Linked DNA regions of Mytilus edulis. The protein of the gene in region 1 purifies or fractionates together with the protein of each later gene. This does not show direct contact. Links are inferred from orthologs where the notes say so. Each region holds a gene or a part of one and is shown on either strand. Other genes may lie near its edges.

Region 1 (9,038 bases):
ACTAAGTTTCAAGTTGATTGGACTCCCAACTTCATCAAAAACTACCTTGACCAAAAACTTTAACCTGAAACATGCACTTTCATTTTCTATGTTCAGTTGACCGTGAAATTGGGGTCAAAAGTTTAATTTGGCTTTAAAATTAGAAAGATCATATCATAAGGAATATGTGTACTAAGTTTCAAGTTGATTGGACTTCAACTTCATCAAAAACTATCTTGACCAAAAACTTAAACCTGAAACATGCACTTTCATTTTCTATGTTCAATGGACCGTGAAATTGGGGTCAAAAGTTTAATTTGGCTTTAAAATTAGAAAGACCATATCATAAGAAACATGTGTACTAAGTTTCAAGTTGATTGGACTTCAACTTCATCAAAAACTACCTTGACCAAAAACTTTAACCTGAAACATAACTACCTTGACCAAAAACTTGAACCTGAAACATGCACTTTCATTTTCTATGTTCAGTGGACCGTGAAATTGGGGTCAAAAGTTTAATTTGGCTTTAAAATTAGAAAGATCATATCATAAGGAACATGTGTACTAAGTTTCAAGTTGACTGGACTTCAACTTCATCAAAAACTACCTTGACCAAAAACTTTAACCTGAAACATAACTACCTTGACCAAAAACTTGAACCTGAAACATGCACTTTCATTTTCTATGTTCAGTGGACCGTGAAATTGGGGTCAAAAGTTTAATTTGGCTTTAAAATTAGAAAGATCATATCATAAGGAACATGTGTACTAAGTTTCAAGTTGATTGGACTTCAACTTCATCAAAAACTACCTTGACCAAAAACTTTAACCTGAAGCGGGACAGACGGACGAACGAACAGACGGACGAACGAACGGACGGACGAACGGACGCACAGACCAGAAAACATAATGCCCCTCTACTATCGTAGGTGGATCGTAGGTGGGGCATAAAAATACATTAATTATGCAATAAATCAATTAGTAACCAAATTAGGTAGAGAGTGTTTTAATCTTTGAAGATTATGAAAAGTTCTTCAAAGCCAAATTTAAGATATTTAAATTATTTTAGTTGTCCGACTGTTTACAGTATTAAAACAGTTTGTGAGTCAGTTGGTCAAGTTAACAAGGAACATCTATAAATTCCTTTGAATAGTTAACCTTAATTACTTGGGGAAAAAAAAAAAAAATAGTGAAGCTGATTTTTAAGGTATGCTGTATAACAACTTTATGCCATAAACAATTATTATTAATACAAGTGTTATATGTAAATGTACATGTATATAAATTTTACATAAATAAGGCCATTAGTTTTCTCGTTTGAATTGTTTTACATTGTCTTATCGGGGCCTTTTATAACTGACTATGCAGTATGGGCTTTGCTCATTGTTGAAGGCCGTACGGAGACCTATAGTTGTTAATGTCTGTGTCATTTTGGTCTTTTGTGGATAGCTGTCTCATTGGCAATCATACCACATCTTCTTTTTTATATGTACATTGTTTTTGTACTTATAAATAGTTTTCTCATTTATTTGTATTGATACACATTTTTCATATCGAAACCCTTGAGCAGCCATCATTTGGGTAATGGGTATGGGTTTTTTTCTCTGTTGATGTCTGTACAGTGGCCAATTAATAGAGAATAATACATGGCAAAATCCGTATCATATGTTGTATCATCCCGAGACACCAATATCAGCCCAAGGGAAAAATATTTCTTAAGTTTACATTATAAAAAGTGACTTCATGTAAAAAAAAAAAGTAGGGGTGTGATAAAGGGTAAAGGTGTGATAAAGGGTATGCGATAAAGGGTAGGGGTGTGATAAAGGGTATGCCATAAAGGTTGCAAATCAAAGTTGCGCGATATGGATTAAACAGCAAGCTATTTATCAAATATTCAAAACTACTGTATTTACTACTAAACCTATGATAAAAGTATATCTACTTCAAATACACTCAGGTGGATAGTTGTCATATTGGCAACCATACCACATCTCCTTATTTGAATATAAAGGTCCTTCAAGGACCTTTCATGGAACAAATCTTGCACAATATATAAATGCAACTTGAACACACAATAAGTGTAAAACTTTTACTTAGGATCTCACCATTTTGTACAGTCTGTCAATATCTCCACTATGTTTGATTTCTATGTGGTTATCATGGAGATAGCCTGTGTAGTAGAACCATGTGTTCTCATACTGTTCTGTTGCTATGGGAACTGGAAATGGTGACTCTTTGGCTGCATGTACTCTTTTCTTCTTTTTTGGATTAACCAGCTTGGAGAATGCCATACCAACAAATAGAAACTTTTTTTTACCTGAATAGAAAGCAATAGTTACTATGCTTGGAAAATTATTGTTTGTCTTTTTATCATGTGGTATGATTGCCAATGAGACAACTCTCCACAAGAGACCAAAATGACACAGAAATTAACAACTATAGGTCACTGTATGGCCTTCAACAATGAGCAAAGCCCATATCCCATGGATGTCAGCTATAAAAGGCCCCAAAATGACAATGTAAAACAATTCAAACAATTCAAACTAACAGCCTTATTAAACATGTTAGCTGGATCCCAACCTTCTCCTTACCCAGAACAGTGGTGTAACAGTACAACATAAGAACAAACTATAAAATCAGTTGAAAAGGCTTAACTTACCATTTAGATACAAATAGAAATACATATTACAAAAACAAAGTCAACATAGTCTAATTGGTACTTCAACTACTTGTACATCCGAATAACAAAAGATACTATATAAAGTACACCTGACGTGTTTAGGTGGTAAACTCATGAAGAGCATGTCATCATGTAACATTGTAGATTTTCTTTTAATTTTTTTCTGTACTTGGCTTTTCTTCTCTTTTTTTTAACAGGTCAGGAATAACCACCAATTGGTGGATTATACCTCAATTGACGTATAATCCACCAATTGACATATAATGGTATAGACCAATTGGTGTATAATTCTTTGTTTTTCAAAACAAATTATTCCACCCAAATGGAGCATTGTTTTCTTAAAACCATTTTATGGTATGAAAACTTGTCAAACATTCCTAGTTTAGTATAGTGACATAACATATTGCATCTAATCGATAATTGTATTTGAAGTTTCTTCTATTGTTATCTTGTCAATTCCTGATTGGCAAATTTACCTGTAATCACCTGTCAATGGACATCATTACTGTCTGCAGTCATGTGATCATGTGTACAACTCCACAGGTGAATGGTGCTCTTTGTTAATAGTTGACCTTCATTATCAAAAGTCAATCATGGTCAATAGTACAAATGTTTCAACAAAAGAATTGTTGTACACATGCATTCTCAAGAGATGCAGCAGGCTTTGACAAAACTGAAATTTCGGAGGACTCAATAAGGGTTATGAAATAGGTTGCAAGTTGCAAAATCATGCTCCTATCTCACACTAGCATTTAATTACAAAAAAAACTTGCATTATACATCAATTGGTCTATACCAATATACCTCAATTGGTGGATTATACGTCAATTGAGGTATAATCCACCAATTGGTGTTTATTCCTGACCTGTTTAATATGTACATAGCCCTTCCCCCTTTTATTATTAAACACTATTTGTTTGTTAAATGTATCAAAAATCATAATTATATTGAAAAGTTTGTCTCTATTACTTAATTAATCTCCTTGTTTTGATTTAGAACGCTTTCTTTAGCCATATGTTTATCAAACCAATATTTCTCATTGCACATGTAGAGGTTAATATTGAGAACGGATGTCAGCATTGTCACGTGATCAATGGATTAATTTAGGTCAGGTAAGAACACAGGTTGTTGGCTACTTATCAACATTTTATTGACTTATTTACATAGTCAAAGTGTTTAACAGATTATCGATTACAATCAATATTATCTTATGTTAGTAAATGGCGGGTAGTTTGATTTGAAAGCGAGTACAAAGTAGAGAAACTGACCAAAAATGTATGGTTGACCTCACCTTGGTCTTTGTTGATTTTCACACAACTTCAAAAATCTAGAAGCTATGACTACTATTGTGTATTGCTTGATGCAAATATCAGTTGAAAAGAGACATTTAAAAACACAAAAGAAACTGACATTTCTTTATATTAATAGGGTGTTATCACATGTCATGCATGTGAAGTTATTCAATTAAAAAAATTAAAAAATAGAAAATAAGGGTATACTCTTCTTAGTCTCTATGTATAGTCTACTGTATCACTAGTCTGTCAATATTGAGGTTGTGAGTTTGGCTCTAAAACAGGGTTAGTAATTTTACCTACGAATGTTCATAATACAATGACTCTCTGCACCCTGGTTTTCTCCAAGGATAAAAACTGACCCCATGAAATAGCACAATATAGTTATATTAACAGTCAAGGGTCTAACTTAAATAAGTTATTAGAGAAAAATAACATACATGTTGTTATTGTGAGCTAAAATATCAAAAAACTGTGATAACATATGTATGTTACATGTTTCAAAGGGGAAATATACAACGTTAACCTTTCTTTTGTTAAATTTTTCTCCAGCTCTATTGATATTATAATTTTCTTTAAGTATACTAACCTTTGCAAAGATATAACAGCTCATAGTTTAGAAATCATGCATAGTACACCTATGTTATTACAGAAAATATATTCCTGCAATAACCAAAGGGTGTTATTACAGCTTCTCTATCATGTCTATATCTCTTTACAGTCTTGCATAACAATGTATTTCAATTTATTGTAAGAAATGATGATAGAGCTTGTAATGAGGCACTGTGCAAGATTCCAAGTGTCTCATTTACTCTCATATACAATGTTGTAAGTTTTATGCTTGTAATAACTAAGCCTTGTTATTACAGTTTAGTTTTCCCTTAAAAGCCTTGTCTCATTGATTTACCATGGTTGATCAAAATTGTATTAATGGAATTAAAAATTAGTTATCAAGGAAATATATTAAACTACTGCGCAAAGTTTAAAGAATTCCCAAGTGCCCATTAAAGATAAAATATTTATGATATATTTAACTGATAACAAACATAATTATGTTATTACAGATTAAGGAAAAAAGAGTAGACAACTCATGAAAGTGTCTGTAATAACACATGCATGTTATTTTTCTCTGATAACTTATTTAAGTTAGACCCTTGACTGGTTAATGACTAATTATAAACTTCTTTTTTTTTGCTATTAATCCTCGCTGCAGAGCACAGCAGTATGGATTTCCACTGCAGAGCACAGCAGTATGGATTTCCACTGTAGAGCACAGCAGTATGGATTTCCACTGCAGAGCACAGCAGTATGGATTTCCGCTGCAGAGCACAGCAGTATGGATTTACACTGCAGATCAATAGTATAAATGTAGATGTATGGACATCAAAACAAAAGAATAAAATAGCATTTCAAGGCATCATATTTATTTGGACTAAGCGTAATAGCACTTAAAGTGGTGTTAAACATCAATCAATAAATATGATTAATAAATATATATACCAAAGGTTGATAATTAGATTTGACATAATTTTAATTTTGCTGTGTGGCCCTCTTACGATGTCGTAATATTATTATTGCCCTCTTACGATGTCATAATATTATTATTTTTAGAAATTAATAGAAATTTTGTTCTTAATTTTGCAATGTAATAATCATCAGTGAATGATTACAGAAAAATTGGAATATTTAAAAATTCTATACCTACATGTATTGTGTTCTTGTATTTTTAGAAATATCCAAAAGTAGTGATAAAATAAGTTAGGGTTCCATTAGTGAGGACAATAACCATGATAACCTACTTCTTTTTTCAAATGGTTTCACTTAGGGATATTCTAAACTAAATTTACAAACCAAACTCTTAAAAAACATTTGAACCCAAATTTCCAGGATCTTCGATTTTATATTACAAAAAAATATATCTGAGAATTGAGATTTGTCAAAGTTTATGGAGTTCAGTGTATATCTAGATTTTTTTGTAGGAAACTAATAGTCAGTCAGGGGTACTACTTGTACAAGTAATCTGTATTTACTTGAAGAAGTAGAAATAAATAATAATTTATAAACTGATATAAGTTAATTATAATGTTTGAATTATCTCCCCTTAATTTTCTCAAAAATTTACTTGTGTAAGTTTTGAGGTGTAAGAACATGCGTTAAACAATTTTTCTCAAGTTAGGTCATAATTTTTTTATAAGAGTTCAATGTTTCATTTCATTAATTCATAATAAATATTCCAATGGTAAGTCTGGCTCCCCTTAGTCTTGTTAGTGAAGAATGATCACAAGCTGTCCTTTGGATTCATACATGTAATTTGTTTTCTTGTTATTTTGGTAATTGTGTAGGACTTAAAAATTGGTTGAATATTTTTTTCACTGTCAAAGACAGAAGTCGTGAACAGCAATGAACAGGTATCAATGATTTGCAGCATCAGCTTATTAATGTATGTGTGTTTTCATTTCTAATTTAGTCAGTTTGAAGACTTGAAATTCTCAGTTATCATGGTTATATCTCTATTCTTTATAACAATTGAAACAATTTGAATTGATGTCCTGATGACAATTTTTTTTAAGTGCTCAAAAGGTCATAACGTAGAGGCATCCAGTATTTGGCAATTAGTCAATAAGTAATTATATCTATTTAAGTGTCATATTTAAAGGTCAAAGTTTAAAGAGAATTTCATTCATAAAATCTGTCATATTTTGCATTATAGACATGATAGTTGATTAAAGCCTGTTTTTGGATGAACGACTTGTCAATTTTTTGGCCTCTTTGAATATTTTTTACGTTTTTGAAATTTGATATTTTAGTGGGTGTTATAGCATTTAAAGTTGTTTGAATATGTTCCTCTCTTTATTGCTACAAATCCAACAGATACATTTGAATTAAACTTACTGAAGATTAACCAGAATTTATTTGCTTTGTAATTTAAAATGATAGCACAGTTACATTGTACAAATATACTTGTTTAAGAAGCGTATCACATGATTTTTCTGTGGATGAAATTCGATTTCTTTATATTTTAAAATTAAAGGTAAGAAATTTATAAGAAAAAAATGATACAATTAAAGATTTTACCCTTAGATGTTGTAGTAACTTAATTTTATCTCATGATCATCTGTAACATTGACTTCAATTGATCAGAGCTGCATTTAATATATTACAAACTAAAAATTTTACTTTGAATTTCCAATTTATATTTTAACTTCATTTTATTGTTTTTGAGTCTATTTCGAATAGACCAAAAAAATATCATTTCTTATAATTTAATTCTAAATTCCATTTTAAACCGTAAAAAACCATGAAAAAACGTCACAATCACATGACTAAATTATGTCTATGGGCTGAGAACAAAATAACGTCAGCCAATCAGAAGAAGCTTTACATCCAAAATTAAATTATTATCATTTGTCACAGTTTAAATTTTTGTTCTGTATTTTTAAGCTTAATTTAATAGAATAAAGGATAGACATCTGCATCCAATTTGATACACTTAATGTATAAATAAGGAGATGTTTTATGATTGCAACCAATGGGTCAACTATCAACAAGAGACCAAAGAATGAGAATAACTTATCACAAAACAGCCTTCAACACTGAGCAAAACAATGGAACCCATTTTATGTAGTAAGCTGTTAAAGACCCTGGTATGTCAAAATGTGAGACAATTCATAAGAGAAAGTCGACATCTGGATTCGAGATATAAATGTGGTACATTGTAAATATTTGTTACCTATAGAATTTAGATCTTCCATTTACCTTATAATAATACAATAATTTCAATTACAGGTTAGAGAATTTCTGGAGGATGGGAGAACGAATGGTGCCTGTTTCATCCCAACGTGTTTCAAACATACATGGTACATGTACAGAGAAGATGTTGGGTTAAAAGTTCACATTGCATTTAGTTGTCACAGCGTTTAGATGAAGAACTACAATAACAATTTTGTAAAATAATATGGAAAAGTTCAATAACTGTTCCATGATCCTTTATATGAACACATCATTAACTGGAACCAATGATATTCTTGTTAGTATGGAAACGTGGCACAAACATTAATATACTTGGATACTCAAATAAACCTCTAGATACATTCTATGAAAAGCCAGTTTTAAAACAATTAACAGTGTTTTGACACCTTTTAGTTAAAGTGATTCTTTTAAACATGATAAAGCTTAAATGTTTTGGTTTCATATTGTTGTGTCTTTGAATTTTCACTTCAATGTTTTCCAAAATGGTGTTAAGAGAGGCAGCATTATTACTTTTGATAGTAGATATTTCATCCAGTCAGACTTGTTACAAAAATGCAACGTGCCAGTCACTCGGAACTACAACCACATGTCTTGGTGTTACCTTGACCTTCACTAATACATCGCTGGAATTCATAGATTCTTCAACATTAAGTTCAGTAAACGAAAAATTAAAACTCTGGGAGGGTTTGAAATATGTTCCCGAATGCTGGTCATTGGTGCAACCCTTTCTTTGTTCAGTGTACTTGCCTAAATGTGATGGTGGGCAGGTGGAGTTGCCTAGTAAAGAATTATGTAAGAAGATAAAATCACCATGTAAAATTGTTGAGATTTACCATGGAGCCTGGCCTGATTTCTTAGACTGTGATGAAAGCCATTTTGAGACGGGCTGTCCAGTAAGTTTATATGTTACATACTGTAAAATTCAGAAATTATTGTGTGAATTTATTATTGCCGTCTTTATAGAATGGACAAAAATGCGAGATCAAATATTGCGATTTTTCGAAACATCTTCATACAGATATATGTATCAGGCAACAAAATGGGAGTTCTTATTATTTGTGATACATCACCATTCGCAATATTCGCATTAATAAAAACCTCGCAATGATTTCTGAATTTACAGTTTGCAAAATGATATTTGTTAATGTATATATGTGCAGAAATCTAAGTTTTTAAGATTTTATCATGCATATCATGATTTAGCCAAAGAGTGCTATATATTTTATAATGAATTTATAAGTTACATGTTGTAATATTTATGATATTAGTAAAAGTTATTACATAAAACAATAACTTAATGAGTTACATTTTTTGTACTGAACATAAAACATTAATACA
Region 2 (8,054 bases), on another chromosome or scaffold:
GTACATTTTGTACTTTTCCTAGATTACAAAAAAATTAAAACTTTCATGAATGTAGCATACTTGTTTTATTGTAGGGTCACATAGCACAAGGTGATTTGTTTTAAAAAATGTATGTTGATCAGTCTATGCAAAAAAAAAATATCAGCTACTTGCTAAATCTGTATTTTTAAGATTTTTCCTACATACAAATTTTATCAAATTTTTACTAGACTTGGGCATAGGGGTTTTGGCTAAAGGTCCAGACCATAACAGTTGGTGATAGTTCTTTTTTTAACAATTCTTCAGACTTGTTTATACACTCAAAACATTATTTATAAAGAGGCCTTATTAGTAAAATTAAACATCCAGATCTATTTCATAAATTTTTATTTCAGTGAGAAAAAGCTTATTTTAAATAGCTACTGATATGTTGTTTGTCCTCTGTCACATATAATCTTCACAGAATTACTGTATTTAAATTGGATCAAAATTTGAAACCGAAAATTCTGCAACACACATAATTCAGGAATTAACTATATCAATATATTTTTGGGCAGCACTTCAGAAATCAAAGAGCTGAATAGCTCTGAGGGGAAAGATGGCCCTTGTCTCTTCTTTTTTTTTTTGGGGGGGGGTATCTTTTGATAGTCTTCATATATAAAGAATGAAAAAAGAGAACAGCTAGAACATGTAGAAAGGTTGACAATATTGAAGTCAATTGTTGTTTAATTTAATTTTGTTTCCTTAGTATGATTCAATTTGGACCAAGAGATCTGCATCTTCTAAATCTAAACATTCGATTAAAGTTGATAGTTAATTATGTAAAATTCAACTGATTTCTGTCATTTAACAACAACTACAATGTTTTCTGAAATCTTAATTGTGTACCACTGAACTGAATTTTCCATTTTTTGTGACAGTACTCTAAGATTTTTAATTTTTTTCTTAAGAAAGTTAGGACTGAAAAATCTATTTAATTTCAAATTTCCATTGATAAAGTTCCCAGTTACAACTCTCATCACAGGGGTACAGGTACTAATAAAAAATAATATGATTGATGTAAAATGTGTGAAGCTTGTTTCCAGATCCTACATTTTGAAATATTTGTAAATTTCATGAATAAATTATTATAGGTTTAAACTATAAAATGCAACTTTTTAAAAGAAACATTTTTTACCATTACAATGATTTATTTGTTGGTACACACAATTTAGTTTTAATGGAAGACTACTAATCATATACTAAATGTCACATTTTCAAGTTTTATTTTAGTGGATAATTACTCATCAATTGAGGTGCTCCTGATTTGGAGGAAGATTCACAGAACAGAATTTTACAGAAAAAATGAAAAAAATTGTTTCTCTCCCCGATCTCATGTACATGTATCTCCACGACCCTTGTTTACTCTGAAAGTTGTTGACCTACAAATTAAAGTATTGCATGTTGATGTTTGAATCATCTACAGCAAACATAATTATGTTTAAATTTAACAAATAATTTACAATTAGTGCACGAACTCTGAGAATGATTTAAATAACCAGTGAAGAATATCCCTGCTTCTTCATAGTGTGGCATTCCAACAATGACGTCATTATAAAATATAATGTAGGTTGGATATATTTAGAATATCTCGTCACTGATTTTTCCGGATTGTAAAAGAAACGTAAATAGTGTAAAAGAGAGCTCAAAATACGATAATTTCGCTAGAAACAGAAGGGAAATATGTAGAAAAGTATTTAAAGTCAATCTTTTCATTTGTGTGTTTCCTTCTCATCAAGCTCAGTAAGATTTTTTGGGGGTAATCACACTATAAAAACAAAATGAATGATGTGAGGGAATGTCACTCTGGTCAACCCCATATGGGATTGACGGCTTGAAGCCGTCTTTCCCCCAAAAACAAGCATATTGTGAGTATTGCATGGTATTAAATAGTCCCAATCTGGTTAAAAAATTTATAAGGGTTCCGCGGAACCCATTGTCCTGTCTACTTTTGCTGTTAATCACACACTCAACAAAAATGAAGAAAAAAATCAACAAAATTATTCCTCTCGATACTATCTTTTGATTGTCAGAAGCTTCTGTTCAAGTTCGGTAAAATTCCAGGCTAGTTTAAGAAACTTAAAAATGTTTTAACAACTTTAACTGCAGACTGTATGTAATGTTAACTAGAAGAAAAACAAGCTTCTGGCCAAGTTTCGTACAATTCCAGGATAGTTTAAGAAAGTTATTAAAATTTTAAAAACTTTAACCACAGATTGCATGTACATGTAATGGTTCCGAGCAGAAAAACTAAGTCCATTTATAAGTAAAAAAATGTAAAATATGGAAAAAATGGAATTTTATTTTTACAAAATTTACTCCTGGATACTATCTTATGAACATAAACAAGCTTCTGTCCAAGTTTGGTAGAAATCTACAATGTAGGATATTTCAAGAAAGTTATTAAAATTTCAAAAACTTTAACCACAGAGTGAATATTTGTGGACGCCGTCGATGACACCGATGGAATGTAGGATCGCTGTCTCGCTTTTTCTTCTAAAGTCGAAGGCTCGACAAAAATCATTGTAACGGAACAAATTCTAACTTGATCTTGTCATTGTGTGAACGATTACTCACATTACGAATTTACGATCAGGTTAATTTGCTCTTTCTGCTACATTGTAGCTCTCCATTGTAAATACAAATTAATGTACCTCATAAAAGAGACAACTAAAAAAAGCGATCTATAATAACAGGGTCAATTATGGGAATTAGTTAGACATGGAAAATAAGCTACACATGGGTCAACGTAATTTCAAATTATATGGGGACAAAGTCCCCAATAACAGTAGAAAATTCAATAAAAAAAAAAAACGGAAAAATTTTCCCGATATTTTCATTGTACTAATGAACTCAAAATAGTTCAATTTTTTTTATGTCATGTTTTGAATTCCTGCATCTGCGCAGAAATCTACAATGTTCTTCCTTTTTCCGGTCTTGTTTGCATGAAATTTTGAGTAAAATATATATATTTATCAGTTTAGTATAAAATAGGAAGGAACGCAATATCAATTTCATTTTTTTAATAATTCCTTGATATGAAAAAACGTTACCTAATGATAGCGTTTCTTTGTTAAAATTGCATATGACGTCATAACTTAAATAACGGCACAACTAAAATCCCTAACAAGAGAACCAAAATCGGAAACATTACGGTATTTCCGTTTCGAAATTAAGATATGTTTGAATTAAAATAAAATCATAGACTTCGTTCCCTTTCACAGGTAATGCCTGCCTCATATTATACATTTTACAGACTTAAGAGGTATTGAGTGAAATTAAAGTATACGGTGCAGTCCGGTGTATCCGCTCACCTAAGACTTATGACTTCACTTCATTCAACTGATAAAACCAATAAATGAATAATATTATGTGAACACATTCATAACATACTTTTATTTCATAAAATCTTCTGTTTGTATGGTTTCACCCTCAAGATTTTGTGTAATATGTGTCCAAAATTAGGGAAACCCTGTTCTGAGAGTTCCTCCAATGTCCGGTGATTTCGCGCATGCCTTCCAAAAATAGCTTATTTTAAAAAAAGAAAAGATTTTATACTACGAAATATAGCTGAGTTTGAACCAAAAACACTGCCAAGGATGCAGAGCAAAAATCATTTCAATCTGATATAAGTTTGACTTAAATAAAACAAATTTTATCTGATGATGTATTTTTTTTTAACGGAAATTGGCCAAATATGGCAAATTACGGGATTGCAGTTATTAATTAACTCTTGAACTTATCAATTTTATTCTTTTTTATCCCTTCAGATGGCTAAAACAATAACAAGAACGATTGTGTTTGTGATACTGTGTTGATATGACAAAATAAGCTAATGCGCGATATCACGGGCCGCGCAGACACCGGGGACTACTCCACTGTATATTCATCATTAAACACCATTTCAAAATGTTCAATGCATTTCAATAATTATATAAGTTGGTACAAGTTTACAATGGTATGAATTTACAGTGGTACAAGTTAGCAGTGGTACAAGTTTGCATTAGTACAAGTTTTTTTTAGTGGTATGAGTTGACATTGGTACAAGTTTATAATGGTACAGGTAACTATAATTTTGTCTCATATACATGTACATCATAAAGAATACATTGTACAATATTCAATATTTATCAGGTAAAAATACTATAGCCACTATATACAAATAAGATTCTTTAGTCTGTCTATAATCATTTATAATTTCTGAAATTCTGTGCAAAAAAACATCTTTTCTATTTCATTTTTTTTCGTTCATAGCTTTCGATAAATATACATGCTTGCCTTTTTCTCTAGTTAATTCTACTCAATACTAATCAACTTACCAATCTTTGTTTTGTTCTTTTGGAACAGAATAGAAAAGAATAGAACAGAAAGTAGGCCAATATTATTTCCAAACAAGAAGCTTATCCGTCTCTGTAAAGTGTATTCCGTATAAAACGCATGAATGATTTTGACTATATTTAGAGAGTATATATGAATTGAAAGGTTAAACATTGATAATTAATGATAGAAATTATGTATCAATTAAATTTTATTTAATATTAAGTATAATTCAAATACAAAGAACTTAAATCAGAAATGCTGAACATAAAAAAATCAAATGTTTAAAGAGTAATTTTTAAAATGGCAGCCCCCATGAGAAACAAATTTTGTTGAAACATAATTTAGCAGAAGTTTTGCTGCTCATCGGCACAGGAATAAAACATGTCCGAAGAAAAGAAAGAGGTATTTAATATACACATATTTGTTTTAACGTTTTATGGCTTAAGATCACAAAGCTGATTTTGAATCCTTTGAACAAGGATTTGTATTTTTGGCAGGCCCTCCTACCGCTTCTATTGGAGTTATCAATACCAAAATTGAACCATCGATAGACCTCAACATGAACTTTTACCAGATGAACTTTTGTAGGATTTCACCCTCCCCTTGAGGAGTAATCTCCCATTTATTGATTTTTTTCAACATGGTCCCCCCAAAATTAGTTAAAAGGTATCATAACTTTAATTGGTCAATAGGTAGATCTCATCATGATGTATTACCATATGAGGCTGCATAAGATTTCATCATCCCCTTTGAGAGTTATATCCCCTTGAAACAATTTCTTTTATTTGCATTTTTCTCAAAAAGTATTAGAGATAGAATTGAATTGAAAATGACAGCATGTATAAGAACAGATGGAAATGTTTATAAACATAAACAATTAATTTGTTGCCATCCCTTATAAGGAGTTATTTCCCTTTAAAATTTAAAAATAATTTTTCAAAAATTCTATTTTGAGAACCGAAAGTCATAGAGACTTGGAACCTTCACCAATAATCTTAAATTCATATGACCTTTAATATGCATCCAAGGTCAAAGGTCACCGAGTGCAAAAAAAAAATTACGCTGCAATCTCAAGCTTACATATTAGAAAAACGATAAGACTTTACTGCATACATATAGCGTATAAAATGTTCTTCACAACGAGTTCTACATTTTATACAATAAGCCCAAAAATGTCCGACCGTCTGTTCAAAAGTTACAACGGGATGAGTCTTACAAGTATAGTATTGTGTGTATATCTTTTTAAAGGTAACAGATATCAACCTACTATCAACAGCAAAGATGATCAGTAATTCAAGGCCTTCAATTTGAGGTCAATGTCAGGTCATGATGAAATTTCACCTTGACCTTCATATTATACTATGACCTTGACCTTGTGATATTTGAAAGGTCAAGTGGTCTTGAGTTGAATGGTGATAGTCCCATGTCTCTACGACTTCCGGTTCTCAAGTTTGGTTTTGCATCATATATTTGATGATTAATTGTGACCTTGTTGAACTTTCAAATTGTTTCAATTCTTTTCCTATAATGTTGTCCTTCAACTGTAGATCATTTATCATTTAACAGATTTGAGATATCTATTGTCGTTTTTGAGATAATGCAGTTTGAAGTTTTGCGAGCGGAGGCATGTATTTCTGAATCAACCAGAGCTTAGCACTTAAAATGTTTTAGAAATTGAAGAGGTTGACATAGTTATATGTTTGACCAAATACGAAAAATATTCCATGGAAAAAAAACACCAAAAAATCAATTTGAAAATTTCAAGCTTTGCATTGACTTTGTAAGTTTCATAACTTCTATTTATATAGTTGATATTACATCATTATTTGCACTTTGTCATATGGGGTCATCTGATATATCATATTGAAGGTCTTAATAAACTCTACTTAAAAATGAAAATTTTAAACCCCTTTTTCATCCCAGGGGGACGGGTGGGGTCATTTAGTGCAAACATTCAAATTTCTCAGATGGTAAGGTTGTCGCATATCAAATGAAAGAATATAAAGCGTACATTTCAAATTTCAAATTGACGTCTCCCAAAAATGGGTTGGATGGGGTCATTGAGTGCAAAAAATAAATCTTCTTTTACGGTAAGGTTGTTGTATATCAAATGAAAGGTCATGATGTGTACATTTGAAATATCAAATTCCCAACCTCCAAAAATTAGTTGGGTAGGGTTATTAAGTGTAAAAATCAAACTTTTTAGAACATGGCGTTGTCGCATATCAAACGAAATCTCATCTACCCTGTGTTACATATATCATACTTCCGATCTCAAAAATGTAGGCTGATGAGGTCATTAAGTGTAAAAAGCGAAAAGTTTCAGAAGGTATGCTTGTCGTATATCAAACGAAAGGTCGTACAAAGAACATTAAGAAAACATTACTTTTACAGGAAAGACCTTTCAATTGTTTTACAAACAATTGAGATACTAGTTTATTTAGTTTCTCTGTAGTGCCACATCATAAATACAAATGTACTAATGATTTTAATACAATAGAGCCATAAAATTACCAGAGTGATCGAAATTACAGATAGAGATTATAGTGTCAAGTTGACACTTCTAAAGACTAAAGACTTAGTATGTACAGCCTCAACAGGAACATTTTTTCTCTGTTCGTTTAATTTTCTGTAGCCTAGAATTTTTGACAAAAATGTTACCTGACAAAGAGAACGAGTCTGTATATGTATGATCCTCAAATCTCAATCTTATGGCCTTATGGCACAACTCTTCTCATTGGTGCATATTACGCCCTATGTGTATCTTCCTCCATGTATTTTCCTCCATGTACTTTAATTTTGTTTTTGCTGTTACGATTGAGGTTGCGGATGTTCGGGTAAGTCGAAACGTCCTGTTTTTGAAAATAACAGTATGAGAAGCTGTTTTTATGTAACAATTAAATGATCGACATATATATGTTATATTTTGGGTATAAATTAGTTGAATTGTTTCTTCTGATTAAGTGTAGGACTCATTTTGAGTATATTCACACTGACACATACATGCCATACAGTCACCTCTATATAATGATATACAGTTAAAAAAACCAAGTATTTACAGTTAATAATCCAATAACTACAATTTATGAAAATGGTGAAGATAGCCAGTGCCTGTTTAAACCCATCAAGGGTTGGCAAACTGACTAGTGGCAGTCACAGTGAGGCTGGTGATCCTGATCCTACGGTCAATATTTAGCTTTGACACATCTGGTCTCTTTGTGCTTACTTGTAGTTTCTCTGGGTAATGTCACATTGTTTAATTTAGTTAAATTGTTTAGGCACTGTATCGGAATTCTTCAAGGCTTAGTGTTTCCTGGAATCCCCCTGAAATCTTTAAATATTCTCCTATCATATTCATTGTTATCTCGTATGTCTCTTTCTTTGTTGGTGCTAAAAGTTTGTGACTGGAGACCTATTGGGATGTTATGTACATACATGTACAAAATGTATCTCCGGCTGTCTTCTTCTCATTGAATTTCTCAGGACTTCTATGTGCAAATAGAATTTTTAATTGACTGTCCTTTTCAGATGTGACCATCATGTCTTTACTCATCATTTTAGTGTAATTTCATGGACAATGAAAATTTCCCTTGTCTATTATCTTCAGAACAGTTCTCATTTACAAGCCCAAAAAAACAGCGTTTTTGCATATGGGGTATATATCTCCCATCTCCCAATTGATACGATATTCCTGTGCTTGCATTTCCTATCATGAT

The links. Proteins that work in one complex are often made in the same cells at the same time.
Region 2: the proteins of tRNA-splicing endonuclease subunit Sen2-like (region 1) and polyribonucleotide 5'-hydroxyl-kinase Clp1-like purify together in Homo sapiens (affinity purification with mass spectrometry; 3 studies listed by BioGRID and IntAct, counting the BioPlex papers as one, with this or other methods). This does not show direct contact. The link is inferred for Mytilus edulis from reciprocal best matches to the Homo sapiens genes TSEN2 and CLP1.

The regions. Positions count from the first base shown.
Region 1 is NC_092355.1:3,469,679-3,478,716, forward strand, and holds the start of tRNA-splicing endonuclease subunit Sen2-like, read right to left. Parts: upstream 3,731-9,038; 5' UTR 3,628-3,730; intron 2,382-3,627; exon of another isoform or gene 2,296-2,381; 5' UTR 2,270-2,295; coding exon 2,084-2,269; intron 1-2,083. Other genes in the region: protein smoothened-like, read left to right, coding at 8,171-8,593.
Region 2 is NC_092345.1:102,189,687-102,197,740, forward strand, and holds the start of polyribonucleotide 5'-hydroxyl-kinase Clp1-like, read left to right. Parts: upstream 1-4,592; 5' UTR 4,593-4,719; coding exon 4,720-4,740; intron 4,741-8,054. UniProt on the Homo sapiens protein: Polynucleotide kinase that can phosphorylate the 5'-hydroxyl groups of double-stranded RNA (dsRNA), single-stranded RNA (ssRNA), double-stranded DNA (dsDNA) and double-stranded DNA:RNA hybrids. dsRNA is phosphorylated more efficiently than dsDNA, and the RNA component of a DNA:RNA hybrid is phosphorylated more efficiently than the DNA component.